Arabidopsis thaliana: one gene and its partners. The protein of the gene in region 1 interacts with the protein of each later gene in a pairwise test. Each region holds a gene or a part of one and is shown in the gene's direction. Other genes may lie near its edges.

What was found.
Region 2: the proteins of AT1G20490 (region 1) and ANN5 interact in a protein complementation assay, tested with the Arabidopsis thaliana proteins (one large-scale study listed by BioGRID).
Region 3: the proteins of AT1G20490 (region 1) and AT1G61420 interact in a protein complementation assay, tested with the Arabidopsis thaliana proteins (one large-scale study listed by BioGRID).

Annotation. Positions count from the first base shown.
Region 1 is NC_003070.9:7,096,185-7,102,705, reverse strand, and holds AT1G20490 (AMP-dependent synthetase and ligase family protein), read left to right. Parts: upstream 1-2,813; 5' UTR 2,814-3,033; coding exon 3,034-4,261; intron 4,262-4,632; coding exon 4,633-4,748; 3' UTR 4,749-4,777; exon of another isoform or gene 4,778-4,854; 3' UTR 4,855-5,112; intron 5,113-5,211; 3' UTR 5,212-5,495; downstream 5,496-6,521. Other genes in the region: AT1G20500 (AMP-dependent synthetase and ligase family protein), read left to right, coding at 1-1,080, 1,458-1,603, 1,688-1,755, 1,871-1,973, 2,091-2,204; AT1G20480 (AMP-dependent synthetase and ligase family protein), read left to right, coding at 5,633-6,521. UniProt on the Arabidopsis thaliana protein: Carboxylate--CoA ligase that may use 4-coumarate as substrate.
Region 2 is NC_003070.9:25,517,564-25,523,143, reverse strand, and holds ANN5 (annexin 5), read left to right. Parts: upstream 1-2,248; 5' UTR 2,249-2,369; coding exon 2,370-2,445; intron 2,446-2,524; coding exon 2,525-2,670; intron 2,671-2,750; coding exon 2,751-2,969; intron 2,970-3,035; coding exon 3,036-3,251; intron 3,252-3,336; coding exon 3,337-3,426; coding exon of another isoform or gene 3,427-3,435; exon of another isoform or gene 3,436-3,498; coding exon 3,499-3,702; 3' UTR 3,703-3,839; downstream 3,840-5,580. Other genes in the region: IAR1 (ZIP metal ion transporter family), read right to left, coding at 1-54, 344-570, 659-781, 914-965, 1,138-1,187, 1,329-1,412, 1,504-1,819; AT1G68080 (2-oxoglutarate (2OG) and Fe(II)-dependent oxygenase superfamily protein), read right to left, coding at 3,904-4,233, 4,372-4,776, 4,848-4,943, 5,037-5,109, 5,188-5,263, 5,358-5,484, 5,552-5,580.
Region 3 is NC_003070.9:22,658,787-22,666,429, reverse strand, and holds AT1G61420 (S-locus lectin protein kinase family protein), read left to right. Parts: upstream 1-2,255; 5' UTR 2,256-2,833; coding exon 2,834-4,088; intron 4,089-4,217; coding exon 4,218-4,328; intron 4,329-4,445; coding exon 4,446-4,615; intron 4,616-4,694; coding exon 4,695-4,905; intron 4,906-5,001; coding exon 5,002-5,239; intron 5,240-5,338; coding exon 5,339-5,489; exon of another isoform or gene 5,490-5,579; coding exon 5,580-5,873; downstream 5,874-7,643. Other genes in the region: AT1G61430 (S-locus lectin protein kinase family protein), read left to right, coding at 38-148, 388-548, 615-825, 904-1,141, 1,225-1,375, 1,465-1,761; AT1G61415 (CAP-gly domain linker), read right to left, coding at 6,010-6,196, 6,283-6,376, 6,467-6,629, 6,710-6,769; AT1G61410 (DNA double-strand break repair and VJ recombination XRCC4), read left to right, coding at 7,366-7,643.

The DNA of each region.
Region 1 (6,521 bases):
CACACCGTGGCAAAACCGCCTTTATCGACGCTGCCACAGGCCAGTGCTTAACCTTCTCCGATCTCTGGAGAGCCGTCGATCGCGTCGCCGACTGTCTATATCATGAAGTCGGAATACGAAGAGGCGACGTCGTCCTCATCCTTTCTCCAAACTCCATCTTCATTCCCGTTGTTTGCCTCTCCGTCATGTCTCTCGGCGCCGTTTTCACCACCGCCAACACTCTCAATACTTCCGGTGAAATCTCCAAACAGATTGCCGACAGTAATCCAACTCTCGTCTTCACTACGCGCCAGCTGGCACCAAAACTCCCCGTCGCTATCTCCGTCGTTCTCACCGACGACGAAGTTTACCAGGAGCTCACTAGCGCAATCAGAGTCGTTGGGATTTTAAGCGAGATGGTGAAGAAAGAACCGAGTGGGCAACGAGTCAGGGACCGAGTCAACCAGGACGACACGGCGATGATGCTTTACTCGTCGGGAACCACGGGACCGAGCAAAGGAGTGATCTCGTCTCACCGGAATTTAACAGCTCACGTGGCTAGATTCATATCGGATAATTTGAAACGAGACGATATTTTCATCTGTACCGTCCCGATGTTCCACACCTACGGTTTATTGACCTTCGCTATGGGCACCGTAGCATTGGGTTCAACGGTGGTGATCCTCCGGAGATTTCAGCTCCACGATATGATGGATGCGGTGGAGAAGCACCGAGCCACAGCTCTGGCTTTGGCGCCACCTGTTTTGGTAGCTATGATTAACGACGCAGATCTGATCAAGGCTAAGTACGATCTGAGCTCACTGAAAACGGTGAGGTGTGGTGGAGCGCCGTTGAGCAAGGAGGTGACGGAAGGGTTTCTAGAGAAATATCCGACGGTTGATATACTGCAGGGGTATGCTTTGACGGAATCCAACGGCGGAGGGGCTTTCACGAATTCAGCGGAGGAGAGCCGGAGATATGGCACGGCGGGGACGTTGACGTCTGATGTGGAGGCGAGGATCGTGGATCCGAATACGGGTCGGTTCATGGGAATTAACCAAACGGGAGAGCTCTGGCTCAAGGGCCCTTCTATTTCTAAAGGTAAAATCACTAGATAGTTTTTGCTTTGCTTGCGATAGAAGTAATAACTTGATCATTTTTTTGGTCAAAGGCAAAAACTTAACCATTTCAAATCAATGTATAAGATAAAGATAAATTAAATTGTTATTGAGATCAAGTTTATAACTTTTTGTGAAACAAATATAGCAAGAACTCGTATTTGATTTCCAAGTTTTTTCTAGTGATGGATTTTGCATATGGTTTTTGGACTAGTGTGAATAAGTGAATTTTCATTTTTGTACGAGTTCAAAAAGTTAGGTAGCTCCATATAATGGAAAATGACGACGTGAAAGATCCCGATTTGTTTGTGTATATACCTTGTTACGTAAGCTTTATTAATTGACAAACGTAAAATGAAGGTTATTTTAAAAACCAAGAAGCTACAAATGAAACCATTAATTTAGAGGGATGGCTAAAAACTGGAGATCTTTGCTACATCGATGAAGATGGGTTTCTTTTTGTTGTGGATCGATTGAAAGAACTGATAAAATACAAAGGCTATCAGGTTCATAAACATCTATCTTCATTCTTTCACAAACAGTGAAATTTTAAAATTATAAAGATCTAACGATAAGTAATTGATAAACAGGTGCCTCCAGCTGAACTAGAAGCTCTTCTGATTACTCATCCGGACATTCTCGATGCCGCCGTTATTCCGTAAAATATTTCATAACTTTTTTTTTTCCTCCAATTTAAACGCCATGATTTTTGCCTTATAAACGTAAAACACAACATGTTCATGTATGTATGCTTTTGTGTACGTACTGCAAAGTTTTCCGGACAAAGAAGCAGGACAATATCCAATGGCTTACGTGGTTCGAAAACACGAGAGCAATCTCTCTGAGAAACAAGTCATTGACTTCATCTCTAAGCAGGTGTGCTTTTAAAATCACAAAACAACACCTTCTCTTCTTTACCTTGTTATAATGTTTTTAGGTGGTAAATTAGTTTTATGATAGTTGGTTTCAAAAGATTACTAAAATTTTGAGCAGGTAGCACCATATAAGAAGATAAGAAAGGTCTCATTTATAAACTCCATACCAAAAACTGCATCCGGTAAGACGCTTCGCAAGGATCTAATCAAATTGGCTACTTCTAAACTTTGAAAGGATCTTATTTGCTAGATTCTCACTTTTACTTGTAGTTGAAATAACTGGGATGTATGTTCTCTTTCAATAATCTCGTTTTTATTTCAATAAAGAGAGATTTGTAATATATCTATAATGCTGAATAATTTTAATTAAAGACACTAGTATCAAATATGTAGTAGACAATTTGCTGATAACACGAGTTTATATCTTATCAAAATTATAATATCCAAAAGTGAATAGAAAGATAATATAACAAATGTGTGTGTTATGACTTATTACAAGATCAATAATCCGAAATTCAACATTTTAAGTTTTTAACCGAAGAAAAAGAAAGAAAGAGGGATGGACGATCGGAATTGGTTTGGATTTGAGCAACAAGAAGATAAATTTGGTGTGTGGCTAGACCCAAGGACAATATGGCAAGTGAAGTGGGCTTTGAGGTTACCTAATCCTGGTTATGGGTCACTGGTTACCCAAATAAAAAATCTCACGTCATCAAACTGAACATAGAAGCCAACAAAACAAAACATAGGGGTTAGGCACGGCGGCGACGGTCAAATCGAATCTCCCGGTAGTTCTCAGGAACGAGAACCACGTGACTTCACCAAACTTGTGATAAAATATTCTTACAATGAAAAGTTCTTTATGTTTTGTATTATTATTTTGTGTTTCTCATCACAATTCTTATTGTTTTGTGTCGGCCACATCAACTATCATATTATCTACATCATTTAATAATCCGACACATGTTGTAGATAGTATGGTATATTAATATTTCATATTCATATTACAGACTAATCGTTTAGAGAAGTTGTACTTAGAGAAGAGCTTCATATTAAGAAATATGGCGTATCCTGAGAGAGATCTCATTGTTGATCCTAGAAGCGGTTTCTGCAAATCAAACTCTACATTCTATAGCAAGCGAAACCCATTATGTCTCCCGCCAAATCCGTCGCTTGACGTCACAACTTTCATATCATCTCAACCGCAACGCGGCACCACCGCCTTCATCGACGCCTCCACGGGCCACCGCTTAACCTTCTCCGATCTCTGGAGAGTCGTTGATCGCGTCGCTGACTGTCTATATCATGAAGTCGGAATACGAAGAGGCGACGTCGTCCTCATCCTCTCTCCAAATTCAATCTACATTCCCGTCGTTTGCCTCTCCGTCATGTCTCTCGGCGCCGTCGTCACCACCGCCAACACTCTCAACACCTCCGGCGAAATCTCCAAACAGATCGCCCAAAGTAATCCAACTCTCGTCTTCACCACGAGCCAGCTGGCACCCAAACTCGCAGCCGCAATCTCCGTCGTCCTCACCGACGAAGAAGACGAGAAGCGAGTGGAGCTCACTAGTGGAGTCAGAGTCGTTGGGATTTTGAGCGAGATGATGAAGAAAGAAACGAGTGGTCAACGAGTCAGAGACCGAGTCAACCAGGACGACACGGCGATGATGCTTTACTCGTCGGGAACCACAGGGACGAGCAAAGGAGTGATCTCGTCTCACCGGAATTTAACAGCTTACGTTGCGAAATACATCGACGATAAATGGAAACGAGACGAGATATTCGTATGTACCGTGCCGATGTTCCACTCCTTCGGGTTATTGGCGTTCGCAATGGGCTCCGTAGCATCGGGTTCAACGGTGGTGATTCTCCGGAGATTCGGGCTCGACGATATGATGCAAGCGGTGGAGAAGTACAAAGCCACGATTCTGAGTTTGGCTCCACCGGTTTTGGTAGCTATGATTAACGGTGCAGATCAGCTCAAGGCCAAGTACGATTTGACCTCCCTGAGAAAGGTTAGGTGTGGTGGAGCACCGTTGAGCAAGGAGGTTATGGATAGCTTCCTAGAGAAATATCCAACGGTTAATATTTTTCAAGGATATGCGTTGACTGAGTCGCACGGTTCAGGAGCTTCGACGGAATCTGTGGAGGAGAGTCTGAAATACGGTGCGGTTGGGTTGTTGTCGTCCGGTATTGAAGCGAGGATTGTGGATCCGGATACGGGTCGGGTCATGGGTGTGAACCAACCCGGTGAGCTCTGGCTCAAGGGTCCTTCTATTTCTAAAGGTAAACAAACACTAATAAACGCTAAATATTTGGCAATAATTAGATTATTTGAAATAGACATTTTATTATTGGGAAATTATTTATAAAACAAATATTATGATCAAGTTTTTAAGCAGTAAAATGGGTTTTGGATTTGGTGTGAGTAATTGAGTTTTGTATACATCGATATGATTAGTATTCGTAACGTGGACACCCTAACCGAAGAATGGCTTCAGTTCATTTGCAAATTAAATGAAACTTATTTAAGTGAACTCAATACTATTGAATAACAAAAGAAACACTCTTAAATCTGTCTTGGGACAAAACGAAAACAATTTTTTGCATGGCAAAGACATAGTTTTGAATTAAACTAACATTTATATGCTTTAAAGGTTATTTCGGAAATGAAGAAGCTACAAATGAAACTATTAATCTAGAAGGATGGCTAAAACTGGAGATCTCTGCTATATCGATGAAGATGGGTTTCTATTTGTTGTGGATCGACTGAAAGAATTGATCAAATACAAAGGCTATCAGGTTCATCATCGTTATGTTTACTAATAGTGTAAATTTTCTTAAAAATGAAAATCTAATGGTTAATATATGATAAGCAGGTGCCTCCAGCTGAACTAGAGGCTCTTTTGATCGCTCATCCACACATTCTTGATGCTGCTGTTATTCCGTAAAATATTTAACAACTAAAACACCATGATTTTTGCCATTCAAATATCGAAAAACATGTAGTTTGTTTCTTTTGTGCATTGTACAGGTTTCCGGATAGAGAAGCCGGACAATATCCGATGGCTTATGTAGCCCGAAAGCCCGAGAGCAATCTCTCCGAAAAAGAAGTTATTGACTTCATCTCTAATCAGGTACTTCTATAATCACAAAACGTACAACATCTTCTTTATCATATATTGTTTTACTTAAAAGTTAAACTATTTTTGGGTGGTAAATAATTTGATGAGCAGGTGGCACCGTATAAGAAAATAAGAAAGGTTGCATTCATAAGTTCCATACCAAAGACTGCATCCGGCAAAACACTTCGCAAAGATCTAATCAAACTATCAACTTCCAAACTTTGAAAGGATAAATTTGCTAGACTTTCTTAATTTTATTGATGGTATTGTTTTTCAATAAGAGAGAAAACTGTAAATCTGTAATCATTGTATATATTTTTCTGTATACATATGTATAGTGTTGAATAATTTCCAAGGACAGATATAATTAGTTTGCATTAGGCCCAAAGGCGTAATGGATCAAAGACTCAAAGTATAGTGGGCTTTTTTATAATATAGTCCACGTCATAAAACTTAAATCAGAAACGACGTAATTACCAATCTCTAACGACCAATCACCGAGAGGCTTTCGATACAACCAAAGTCCTTTAACATGGCGGTTAAGCACGGCGTCGACGGCGACGGCAGCGAAATCGAATCGAGAACTCTGGCGGTAGATCGAAAAAGCGGTTTCTGCGAATCAACATCGATATTCTACAGCAAACGTGAGCCAATGGCTCTCCCGCCAAACCAATTTCTCGACGTCACGTCTTTCATTGCATCACAGCCTCATCGCGGCAAAACCGTATTCGTCGACGCCGTAACCGGTCGTCGACTAAGCTTCCCTGAGCTCTGGCTCGGTGTCGAAAGAGTCGCGGGTTGTCTTTACGCATTAGGTGTACGCAAAGGAAATGTCGTCATTATACTCTCTCCAAACTCAATCCTCTTCCCGATCGTCTCCCTCTCCGTAATGTCACTCGGCGCAATCATAACCACCGCTAATCCGATCAACACGTCCGACGAAATCTCCAAACAGATAGGCGATTCGCGTCCTGTTCTCGCCTTCACCACATGCAAACTCGTCTCCAAACTCGCCGCCGCGTCGAATTTTAATCTCCCGGTGGTTCTCATGGACGACTACCACGTTCCTTCGCAAAGTTACGGTGACCGCGTGAAACTAGTCGGGAGGTTAGAGACGATGATTGAAACAGAACCGAGTGAGTCACGAGTTAAGCAACGAGTCAACCAGGACGACACGGCGGCTCTGTTATACTCATCAGGTACGACGGGGACGAGTAAAGGAGTAATGCTGAGTCACCGTAACCTAATCGCATTGGTACAAGCATACCGGGCCCGGTTCGGTTTAGAGCAGCGAACCATTTGCACAATCCCAATGTGTCACATCTTCGGATTCGGTGGTTTCGCGACGGGGCTAATCGCGTTAGGATGGACAATCGTTGTTCTTCCTAAATTCGACATGGCTAAGCTTCTCTCGGCGGTGG
Region 2 (5,580 bases), about 18 Mb from region 1:
AATTTCTGTTCCTGAATCTGATTTATCAGTAGCGTCACTAGCAGAAGTCTTTCTCTGCAAATAGATAAGTTTACTCAGAAACCATAACAAGATGAATCCTACTCGGGCTTCAAGTAGAAGCTCAAAGAATAGATGTTTGCATATAACAGAAGAAATAGAAGCTCGTAGCTGAAAAGGTACCACATTTAAGTATGCTAAACCTCTCATTCACGCAAGAGACTGATAAACAGAAATTCTACCAAAACTAATGTGTTCCTTGTTTTTGTACTCTGCTTGCTTCTTGAGTTCAACTCAAAACTCATCTGCTGCAGGTAGAAATATTTACATAGAAGTGTGTTCTCACCTTACGGAGAGATTTATCTGTAGAGCCGCCAGAGACTTTCTCTGATGAATTTACAATTGCATCAGAAGAAGATTGTTGGTCCAAGTTGTTATGATCGCCTTCATCCTTCAGTTTCTTACTGCCTGCATGGTGGTGGTGGTGATGATGACCCCAAGTATTGGACCCAGATGAGTTTTCTTCGACATACCGCACCAACTTCTCCACAAGAAGGAAGACCACAATCCCAGCTGGATAATTAAGAATGATGATTGAAAGTGTCAATTCTGTCAAAATATTTTGTTCAATAAACACAAGAGGAAGTGTTATGATACTTACCAAGAACAGACAATCCAACAGACAAATCTTGTATAGAATGTGAGTGTGAAGGCGAATCCGAATGAGAATGATCATGATGGTCATGGTTCTCATGGTGATCATTAGAGTGAGAGTGGCCACCACCTGCCAAACCATAAATATATTTTGCACTTCAGGAAGATATAAAAGCAAACAAAATGAGAAGGCATAAAAGCCAAATTATGAAACAATGCAGATACTAAAAAAGAGATCAGAAACTTGTGTCCATTACTGTACCAAAAGCATGGGGCAGTTGGTGAAGAAAAGCATCTCCCAACATAGCTCCTGCCTGGTAAACAAATTAACTGAATCAACAGATCATATATTATTAACATTTCCAACTCATCCAAGTGATAAAGTTGCGACGAAACACAGTGTATAGATATTGCTAAAATATTTTTCTTGCATTCAGAACCACCACCGCCAAAGAAAAAGCTACTGTAGTCAGTCTAATGACTTACCCCAAAGAGAGCCAAAGAATCAACGAACCATTTTGATGGCTTCCCTTGAACTGTTAGTTGCAACATAAGACTTGAAACAGTTACTCTCATGAACACATTATAGCACATGAATAAACGAAAGAGAGCATTTTCTCCAGGACAATTAAAAGCAATGCTTTTTGGTTTTCATAGGTATACAAAAAATTGCTTACCAAACATAATGGGAAGCAAAACAAGGCAGATGAGTGAGGCCAAGCTAACTAAAAGAGAGCATCCCAATGCATTAAGCCACAGAGCTACAAAAACCAACAAGAAGAAGAGATTCTAATCATCAAGTAATGATTTGTAAAACCCAATGAAGAATGTAGCTAAAGGAACCAAATTTACCAAACCCCGTAAGAGTGGAACTTGATTCGTGATCGTGATCATGAAGACAAGGCCCAAACCCACATAATCTCATATCCTCCTCTTCAGCAAGCTCCTCCGGCAACTTCATCTCCACCTTCGCCGTCGTCTTCTTCACATGATGATCATGATCGTGGTCGTGGTCGTGGTCATGAGAATGACTACACCCACCACCGTGATGATGCACGTGATCGTCACGCGCCGGCGTTGACTGAGAGAATCCGGATTCAACGCACAGATCCAGAAACAGTACCAAAACCAGAATCGGAACCAGTAGCTTTCTCAGCGAGAACGACATCTCTGAGTGAGCTAAGAAGAGCGACGGTTGAAGCGAGTGCCTTCAATAGTGATGAAGCAGACGATGCAGAAGAAGAGAATGATAATTCCGATTATGATTCCGAAAGTGACAACATCCATTTGGGGAAAGTAATAAACCTTAGGAGATCTTTTTATAATTTGTAGTTTTGGCCCATTGTTTCGAAATTAAGTCGAAAACCCCCTTTTACTAGGCTACAGACTCTACACAACTCTTATAAAAGTCTTTATGTTGATGATAATCATGAAACATAGAGATATCTATCGGATCCTAAAAAATGTTATCCGTTAAATTTTATGCATCAAAGCATCCATCGTTACACGAATGAAACAGAGGATTCAACTCCTAAAATCAAGGTCTAATGTCCATTTCCTTTGCATATTTCAACCCAAAACCCAATCGCCACAAATCACACCACACCAACAAAACAAAAGAAAAAACAAAATCAAGAGAATACAACAAAAAAAAGAAAGAAGAAAGGTATAGAGTTTTACAATATCTTCTTCGGAATCTTTAGAGGAAGAAAGAAAAAATGGCAACAATGAAAATACCAATGACGGTACCTTCTCCTCGAGTCGATGCTGACCAACTCTTTAAGGCCTTCAAAGGTACGTACGCATTCGCTTCTTATGTAGTTTATAACAACTTGTTTTGTTACATTTTAGTTTATATTTTCGCAATTTGCAGGAAGAGGCTGCGATACTTCGGTGATCATCAACATCTTAGCTCATCGCAATGCAACACAACGAGCTCTCATCGAACAAGAATACGAAACCAAATTCTCGGATGACCTCCGAAAACGTCTCCACTCTGAGCTTCATGGTCATCTCAAGGTAAATAAATCTTAGCCTTACAAAAAAACTTTTATTCATGATTTTAGCAGACAACATTTTGAAAACGTTTTTGATTTCAGAAAGCCGTTCTTTTGTGGATGCCTGAAGCAGTGGAGCGAGACGCTTCAATACTGAAACGCTCCTTAAGAGGAGCCGTGACTGATCATAAAGCGATTGCTGAGATTATATGCACACGATCTGGCTCTCAGCTTCGTCAGATCAAACAGGTCTACTCAAACACTTTCGGTGTGAAACTTGAAGAGGACATCGAATCCGAAGCTTCTGGCAATCACAAAAGAGTATGTTTTCTCTATTTGATCCATGCTTTTGGTTCAAATAGTAATAGAAATTGTAATATGTAACAGGTTTTGCTCGCGTATTTGAACACTACGCGATATGAAGGACCAGAGATCGATAATGCGAGTGTAGAGAACGATGCTAGGACTCTCAAGAGCGCGGTTGCAAGGAAGCATAAATCTGATGACCAGACGTTGATTCAGATATTCACTGACCGAAGCAGGACTCATTTGGTCGCTGTAAGATCTACTTACCGTTCCATGTACGGCAAAGAACTTGGAAAGGTATATAATCAAGATCCAGAAACTTGTTACTCAAGAATCAGAAAATTTCCAAAATCTTGATCTTCTCTTTCTCCAATCTTGATAGGCCATAAGAGATGAGACTCGCGGGAACTTCGAGCATGTCCTTCTAACAATTTTACAATGTGCTGAAAACTCTTGTTTCTATTTCGCAAAGGTAACGTAACCTAACCTTTCTTAGACAACAATGTAGGGTTTCGAGTTTACAAAACGAAAACTGAAAGCGCAGGCATTGAGGAAATCAATGAAAGGATTAGGAACAGATGACACGGCGTTGATAAGAATCGTGGTGACGAGAGCAGAGGTGGATATGCAGTTCATCATCACAGAATACCGTAAGAGATACAAGAAGACTTTGTACAATGCTGTTCATTCTGATACAACTAGTCATTACAGGACTTTTCTCCTCTCTCTTTTAGGCCCCAACGTTTGAGATCTCTTTCTGTATCCAATCCCAAAATTAACTTTGATTCTCTGTATCTTACAAAATTACTTGCAACAATCTTGAAGGATATTATAACATGATTATGTGTAAGATCAAACAAAGAGATAATTGAGAAGCTGTTCTTTGAAGCCAAGAGAATCACTTTCAAGTTGTTAACTACTCAATTCAACAGTAACTCAGAATTCATTTCTAATCAGATTCCACTTTGTGTATAGTTTGATAAGTTTTCCATTGAGGCAAGGATGATAATAGCTCCTTGAGTAACTTACAGCTATACTCTTCCCAAGAGGTAACCGCGAGAGCTATACCCGTCAAGTCGAGTGAATCCTTTCGATCCTCACCAGAGCACGAATATCCAAAAGTTGTGGCTACGAGGTTCTCATCTAGCAGGAAAACTGATTTCAGGGCATTGATAGTTTCCAACTGAGAGTGGGACATAGCTTTCACCTCTTCTAATGTGTCATTTTCGACATTAGAAGTTACGAGTTCAGAAGCTTTCCAATGGTAGAACTGAACAACCTATTATCCAGCAAAAGAGAAGAAATAAGCATTTGATTATATATGATGAAAGGAAGCCCGTTTAACAAGACATTTACTATATCAACTAATCACTAACGACCTCGAAGAAACTCATGTGAATGTCAAAGAGAAAAGTACCTGAAGAGCATGAAGAATGTTGGCAAATTTTCGGGTGAGTAACTTTCCTCCTTTAGCTAATTGTAGTGGTCCCATAAGTTGTTCAGAGGCATCCGTAGAATGATCTTCGCCTTGTAAGCTATGTACATCAAAACCAAGAAGATGCAACCTCGCAACGCAAACATCAAAACCTATGTTTTGATTAGAACCATCTTGATGAGGACAGAACCAGTACATGTTAGTGGATGCAGGCAAAGGGAGGCACACTTCATGTGATGTACATTGTGAAAGACGAGAAAGAAGCTTGGAATCTTCGTCATGTGATGAGTCCCGGCTAAACCAGAGTGCAAGAGTCAATCTTTCTCCATCTGTTACCTCATCAACTGAGTGAATATTCCGGTCATCAGCTGTGTACATGATAACATCCTGCTCAAGAACACAAACTCATTATTCAATCTAAGTAACCACTAAGCCAACTGAAAAAGAACAATACTTACACCAGCCGATGGAGCAACGGTTACTGGTTCACCACTCTGAAAACGAAAAAGACCGCCTATGAAATCTTTCTCGTAACTATTCAAGTAACAAACTGCCTTCAAACCAACTAAAAACCAAAGTCATACACACATAAACCACAATATCAACAAGGACGTCTATAGATTACAAAAATGAGAGTGAATACGAACCGCAAAATCTCTTTGTTTTAGATATGATCTGTTATCATCACTATGCCAACCAATGCTAGCTCCTTTGCACCAACTGATTCAAAACAAAGAATCAATATTTACTCTTTTTTCCTGACTTGTTTTGTTAAAGAGACAGGGGAGAGAGACTAACCTAATCAAACCTGTGAATTCAATAAAAAGCTCATACTCACACCCAAATGTTTCCTCTATCTTCTCTTTCAACCTCTCTGTTAACTCAACACAACAAAGATCATCCCTTTGAATCTCACAAAAGTAAGATATAAAGACAAAAGCGAAATCTTTGAGTTTTAAAAGATTGACCTCTAATGGAGACAAAAGGGATGATGAGGTGAGGAGAATTAGTGGCAATGAGGTGAGAGAGAGTAGTGGAGAAGACATTTGGTCTGTACCCAATTGTACTGCTACTCTTGTGTATAAGCTCAAGTTCCTGTTTTTACCTCAAAATTAACCAAACCCACATGATTAGACACAAAATTAAGCAAAAAAGGGACAACCTTGCATTCTGCCGGCGACAGGAAATTGT
Region 3 (7,643 bases), about 16 Mb from region 1:
ATGACTTATTGTTCAATTCTTATCCTAAATTCCTCAGATGTAAATAAGCGCAAGATGACCATTGTTGCTAGTACAGTGAGCCTGACCCTATTCGTGATCTTTGGATTTGCTGCATTTGGTTTCTGGAGATGCAGAGTGGAACATAATGGTAACACATTGATGACTTTACTATCGAACAATCTCTCACTGTTCATCTAATCATTTGGTTGTCAATAAAATTGCTCTGTTACATTTGTTATAAGATATCGTTAAATAAAAAGGTGTTTTTTCCACTACTAAATTGACTGACTTGTATATTATTTTTCTGGTACATTGGTTTCGGCCTGTTTTAAAAACTCTGAATATACTCACTTGGCACTGACACACATATTCTAACCCATATTTTAGCTCATATATCAAACGATGCATGGAGGAATTTTCTGCAATCACAAGACGTCCCAGGTTTAGAATTTTTTGAGATGAATGCCATACAAACTGCCACCAATAATTTCAGTCTATCAAACAAACTCGGTCCTGGTGGATTTGGTTCTGTTTACAAGGCGAGAAACGTTTTATCCTCTTTGCTCTTTTTCTTTTCTGTCATTTCTTGACATGACATTTGCAACTTGTTTCAGGGAAAACTGCAAGATGGAAGAGAAATTGCGGTAAAACGTCTTTCTAGCAGCTCTGGGCAGGGCAAACAGGAGTTCATGAATGAAATAGTACTGATATCAAAACTCCAACACAGAAACTTAGTCCGGGTTTTGGGATGCTGCGTCGAAGGAACAGAGAAGCTATTGATTTATGGGTTCTTGAAAAACAAAAGCCTGGATACTTTTGTCTTTGGTGGGTCACTTCTTACCCCTTTCGTGTAGTTTTCCCCTTTATATCTGGAATTTCTTATCTGATAGCTTGTATACTTAGATGCAAGAAAAAAGCTCGAACTTGATTGGCCAAAGAGATTTGAGATCATTGAAGGTATTGCACGTGGACTTCTCTATCTCCACCGTGACTCACGCCTCAGAGTAATTCACCGAGACCTGAAGGTCAGCAACATTCTTCTGGATGAGAAAATGAACCCGAAAATATCAGATTTTGGTTTGGCTCGGATGTTTCAGGGAACCCAATATCAGGAAAAAACTCGCAGGGTTGTCGGAACTCTGTAAGAACCATCCCTTGATAACATATTAAACTAGATTGGTAGTCATATATTAAATTGGGTGAAACTATTTGATCTTTGAACAGAGGATATATGTCTCCTGAGTATGCATGGACTGGCGTATTCTCTGAGAAATCCGATATCTACAGTTTCGGAGTTCTGTTGTTAGAAATCATCAGCGGAAAGAAGATCTCAAGTTTCAGCTATGGCGAGGAGGGAAAAGCACTTCTTGCATATGTTAGTAAGACTTTATGTTTTCATGCATTTGCAGAGGTTGCAAAAGGTTTGTTGCTTTGATATTCTTAAGAGTGGAAACTGAAAAACAGGCATGGGAATGTTGGTGTGAAACCCGAGAAGTTAATTTTTTGGACCAAGCTCTTGCTGATTCTAGTCACCCATCTGAAGTTGGAAGGTGTGTACAGATTGGTTTGCTCTGTGTTCAACACGAGCCTGCAGACAGACCAAACACACTTGAGTTGCTGTCTATGCTTACCACAACATCAGATCTTCCTCTGCCCAAAAAACCCACATTTGTAGTGCACACTAGAAAAGACGAATCACCGTCAAATGATTCGATGATCACTGTCAATGAGATGACAGAGTCTGTGATCCAAGGACGTTGAAACTGTAGAATTGGAATTATTCTCTATAAGGATCAAAATTTCTAATGGTTGTAAAATTACATCCCTTCCTTTATTATTCAGAAACTTTTTATCTATGTGGAAACTGTTTGGTAAAATTGACTAAGGTATATTTTATTAGGCATGATTACATGATTCCACTTCCCACTAAATTGACAAAATACTTTGCTCAAAAACAAATCGTTGACTCTACTTCATTTTAAGACTTCCCGGGAGATTATTCTCGGGCCTAGTGGCACACCAATGTTGACTGTTGAATTCTTCGGTTCTTTTGGACAGAAACAGTTAAGCCCATATGGTTGGAGTTGGGAATCAGTCGATTAGGGTCATTACGGGTCTAACGACATTAGCGAGGCTCGGAGGTTTTTTTTATGCACTGCAAGTGTTCGAGGAAATGTCTAAACGAGATAAAACATAGCCTGCATTTCAAGAAAGTTATTGTGTTGTAATGGTGAAGCAAGGATTGGATTCTTTCGATTGATGCAGAACTAATAAGGACTTGAACAATGACAACGTTGCGTATCTGATTGGGTAAGGACTTCTTCGTGCCAATCTATCATGTATGCATTGTTTCTATTATTGATGCAGAGCTAATAAGGACTTGGAATTGTCTCCCACTCATTCACGTTGTTATTTGTTTAGTGAGCAGTTACTTTCTGAACACCTTTTTTGTGTATTTAAGTAAATGATTGTCTTTGAATGGAATAGAAGAAAATTTGCAGTAACTTATTCTAAAGTCTTTGATAACCAAAGTCTTCTTCTTTTTGTTCTTGATAGCATTGAACAATGACAACGTTGCGTATCTGATTGGGTAAGGACTTATTCGTGCTTTGACACTTTTGTTCTCTATTATCAAATAACGCATGATTTTTGGAACATTAGTAAAGATTATTAAATAACGCATGATTTTTGTTCTGTATTATTCTCACAAGTCAGTCCCTGAGTTGACAAAACAAAAAATGTGCAAAGAGAGTTTTTTTTTTTTTTTTTCTTGCTTTCTCGCTTTATGTAAAGCTAATCTAAAAAAGATAGTTTTTGGAGAGAAATAACAAATATGGGGAAGAAGTGGATCGTGTTCTTTGCTTATTTGCTCTTATCTAGCTTCTTTATAAGTTCTAGCTCTGCAGGGATAACGAAAGAAAGTCCTTTGCCAATAGGACAAACTCTCAGCTCCTCTAATGGTTTTTATGAACTGGGGTTCTTCAATTTTAATAACTCCCAGAATCAGTATGTCGGAATCTGGTTCAAGGGTATTATTCCCCGGGTGGTTGTGTGGGTGGCCAATAGAGAAAAGCCTGTTACAGATTCCACGGCAAATCTCGCTATCAGCAACAATGGAAGTCTTCTGTTATTTAATGGCAAACATGGCGTTGCATGGTCCAGTGGAGAAGCTCTTGTTTCTAACGGGTCTCGTGCAGAGCTTTCAGACACCGGAAATCTTATTGTCATAGACAATTTTTCGGGAAGAACTCTATGGCAAAGCTTTGACCATCTTGGTGATACTATGCTTCCTTCCTCAACCCTGAAGTATAACCTCGCCACTGGCGAGAAGCAGGTGTTGAGTTCTTGGAAAAGTTACACTGATCCATCGGTTGGCGACTTTGTGCTTCAGATTACGCCACAAGTGCCAACGCAGGTGCTTGTTACGAAAGGATCAACGCCTTATTATAGAAGCGGTCCATGGGCTAAAACAAGGTTCACGGGGATACCGCTAATGGATGACACATTTACAGGTCCAGTCAGCGTTCAGCAGGATACAAATGGGTCAGGATCTCTCACTTATTTAAACAGAAACGATAGACTTCAACGTACAATGCTAACATCAAAGGGCACACAGGAGTTGTCTTGGCATAATGGGACGGACTGGGTATTGAACTTTGTGGCTCCAGAACACTCATGTGATTACTACGGTGTATGTGGACCTTTTGGGTTATGTGTGAAGTCTGTTCCTCCAAAATGTACGTGTTTCAAAGGGTTTGTTCCTAAACTCATTGAGGAGTGGAAAAGAGGAAACTGGACTGGTGGTTGTGTGAGGCGTACCGAACTATATTGTCAAGGAAACTCTACTGGCAAATATGCAAACGTGTTCCATCCTGTTGCCAGGATAAAGCCTCCAGACTTTTACGAATTTGCAAGTTTTGTGAATGTTGAAGAATGCCAGAAAAGTTGCCTCCACAATTGTTCTTGCTTGGCCTTTGCTTATATCGATGGAATTGGGTGCTTAATGTGGAACCAAGACCTAATGGACGCAGTGCAATTTTCTGAAGGAGGAGAACTTCTCTCCATTCGTCTGGCACGTTCTGAACTAGGTATGGCGCTCAAATGATTACACGGAAGAATTACTTCGTTTACAACTTTATCTACAACTCCATTGATACTCTTCTTACCGGAAGCAGCATGGCTTATTGTTTAATTTGTTTTTGTCTTATATGTCACAGGTGGAAATAAGCGCAAGAAGGCCATTACTGCTAGTATTGTGAGCCTTTCTCTTGTTGTGATAATTGCGTTTGTTGCGTTTTGTTTCTGGAGATATAGAGTGAAACATAATGGTAAAAACTGATGATCTTACTCCCTCTCTATTGATTTCTTTTCTTTATTTACAGTACTCATTTTCTTGCTATTGGTAAGACACTGATGACCTATATTATCTATAATTGAAACACTAGTTTCAGCTGATATAACAACGGATGCTTCACAAGTTTCATGGAGGAATGATCTGAAACCACAAGATGTCCCAGGTTTAGATTTCTTTGATATGCATACCATTCAAACTGCCACCAATAATTTCAGTATATCAAACAAACTCGGACAAGGTGGATTTGGCCCTGTTTATAAGGTTAGAGAATTTTTAACCTCTTTGCTCTTTTCTATTCTTTGCTTATGCTCTCCAGATGACCTTATGCAATGTGTTTCAGGGTAAGCTGCAAGATGGGAAAGAAATTGCTGTAAAACGGCTTTCTAGCAGCTCGGGCCAGGGCAAAGAGGAGTTCATGAATGAAATAGTACTCATCTCAAAACTACAACATAAAAACTTAGTTCGGATTTTGGGATGTTGCATTGAAGGAGAAGAGAAGCTATTGATTTATGAGTTCATGTTGAACAATAGCCTTGATACCTTTCTCTTCGGTGGGTTCCTTCTTGCTTCATTCCTTTACTATCAGCAACTTTTTCTCTACATGGAACTGTCTTATCTGATTGTTCATACTCTATATTGTCGCTTAGATTCAAGAAAAAGGCTTGAGATTGACTGGCCAAAGAGATTGGATATCATTCAAGGTATTGCGCGTGGAATTCACTATCTCCATCGTGACTCACACCTCAAGGTTATTCACCGAGATCTGAAGGTTAGCAATATTCTTCTTGACGAGAAGATGAATCCAAAGATATCAGATTTTGGATTGGCTCGGATGTATCAGGGAACCGAATATCAGGACAATACTCGCAGGGTTGTAGGAACTCTGTAAGACTCTATTTTCCATAACATTGTTAACAAGATTCATAGTCATAAACTCATAATCGTTTATTAAACATTGGGTGAAACTATTCGATGTTCGCACAGAGGATATATGGCTCCTGAGTATGCATGGACTGGGATGTTTTCTGAAAAGTCCGACATCTATAGCTTTGGAGTTCTAATGTTAGAAATCATAAGCGGGGAGAAGATCTCAAGATTCAGCTATGGCAAAGAAGAAAAAACCCTTATTGCATATGTAAGTACAACTTTTAGGTATTCATACAGTTGCAAATGTCTCAAAACGTTTCTTGCTTTTATATTCTTAAGACCTGAATCTGAACAACAGGCGTGGGAATCTTGGTGTGATACTGGAGGAATTGATCTCTTGGACAAAGATGTCGCCGATTCATGTCGCCCACTGGAAGTTGAGAGATGTGTTCAGATCGGTCTGCTCTGTGTTCAACACCAACCTGCAGATAGACCCAACACACTTGAGTTGCTGTCTATGCTCACCACAACATCAGATCTTCCACCACCAGAACAACCGACATTTGTAGTGCACAGGAGAGATGACAAATCATCGTCTGAGGATTTGATCACTGTGAATGAGATGACAAAGTCTGTGATCTTAGGGCGTTAAGAAATGATGTTTGATCTTAGGGCGTTGATAACAAACTTCACCTTTTATTCTTTTTGTAACATATTTTTTGTATACATGAACCTCCATTCTGGTGCACCAATGATCCATGGTGTTGAAGATAATGTGACCAGAAACACTAATCAGATAATAGATTCATCATTTCATCTTCCATGTAAGCCAAAATAGAGTTCTTCACATCTAAGTTCTTCTCCTCCAACATCCGAACTTCGTTGTCGAGAAACTCTCTTTCCAACAATAAATTCCTGAATTCACTGTCTTCAATCTCCCTTTGAAACCCAAAACACATCTTCACAAAACCTTCCCTGTGTAAAAAAATTCCATAAGCAATGCTTTATCAATCAGAGGATCAAGAACACAAATGCTTGTTTACAACACAATCGATGTTTACCGCTTCTCGGTTAGTCTTGTAATTAGCTCACTATGCTCATTTCTCAAACGACAAATCTCATCCTCCAATAGCTTCAGAGAGTTTCTTGAATCAGCTTTAAGAAAATAAAACATAGTGATAGAGATTTAACAACACAGAAACAAAAAACAAATTCAGAAATTAGAAGCGACTCAAATTCAGAAACCTGTAACGGAGATCAAACCATTGATCTCGAACTGAGAAGCAAGGAACGATTTAGTAAGCTCAGCTTCTTTGACAGACAGAGCCGATTCCGTCTCAGAACAATTTCCGATCTGTGATTCGATCTCTCGCGTGACCTGAATGTTTGCTTCGATTTCCCGATTGACCTGTTTCATTCGATCACAGCTCAGATTAAGCTAAAGACGAGAGATACCAATCCAGTGAAGAAGATGAAGAATAGTGAAACCTGATCAAGCATGTCCTTGAAAATGGAGATTTGACATAGAATCGCACCTGAATCCTCCATTTCCTCTTGCTTCCTCTTCTTTTCAAATTCAAAATCAAAATCGTTAAGCGCGCTATGGGAAGATAAGCTTTTACTGGGCCTGATGGGCTTTTAACTTAAATCACGGCCCATTGAGACCTTGTGTTTCGTCGCAAATCGAATATTCCGATCTTTCAATATTTTTGGAAACACGAACCGAATATCGGCGACTTTGATCGAGATCGAAACAATGGTTGAATCGGAGAAAACGAAACACACATGTCTCCATCTTGAAATCTCCGGCGCCGATCCAATTTTCGTCAAAGGAACATGGTATCACTCTCGTTTCGATATCTCCGTCACCGATGGCTCCTTCACTTGGACTTGCAATGCGACGGAGGAGGAGGTAGCGGAGAGAGCAGCAATGGGACCAGCCTGTATCTGAGTATTTAGAGCTCGCCGAGCAATACTTAGGGTTTCAGCAGCCTAATTCGGTCTATGGTTTCTCCGATGCTATTGAGGGATCTAAACGGCTCTCTTGGACGTTTGAGAAGGAAGGGACTAAACTTGAGTGGAGGTGGAAATGTAAACCATCAGATGATAGCAAGAAGATCACTGTTAGGATTTTGGATTTTCTTATGGAGGCTAACATAAGGCTAAGTGAAGAAGTTGTGAACAAGACGAGATCGTTTGAGAAGATGAAAAGTGAAGCTGAGAGATGTCTCGCGCAAGGTGAAAAACTATGCGATGAAAAAACAGAGTTTGAGAATGCAACTTATGCAAAGTTCCTTTCTGTTTTAAATGCAAAGAAGGCGAAACTGAGAGCAGTAAGGGACAAAGAAGATTCAGTGAGAGCAGTTGAGGAGGAAGAGTCGACATACAAAGCTGAAAGCTTCGAGAGTGGAAGAAGTGATGA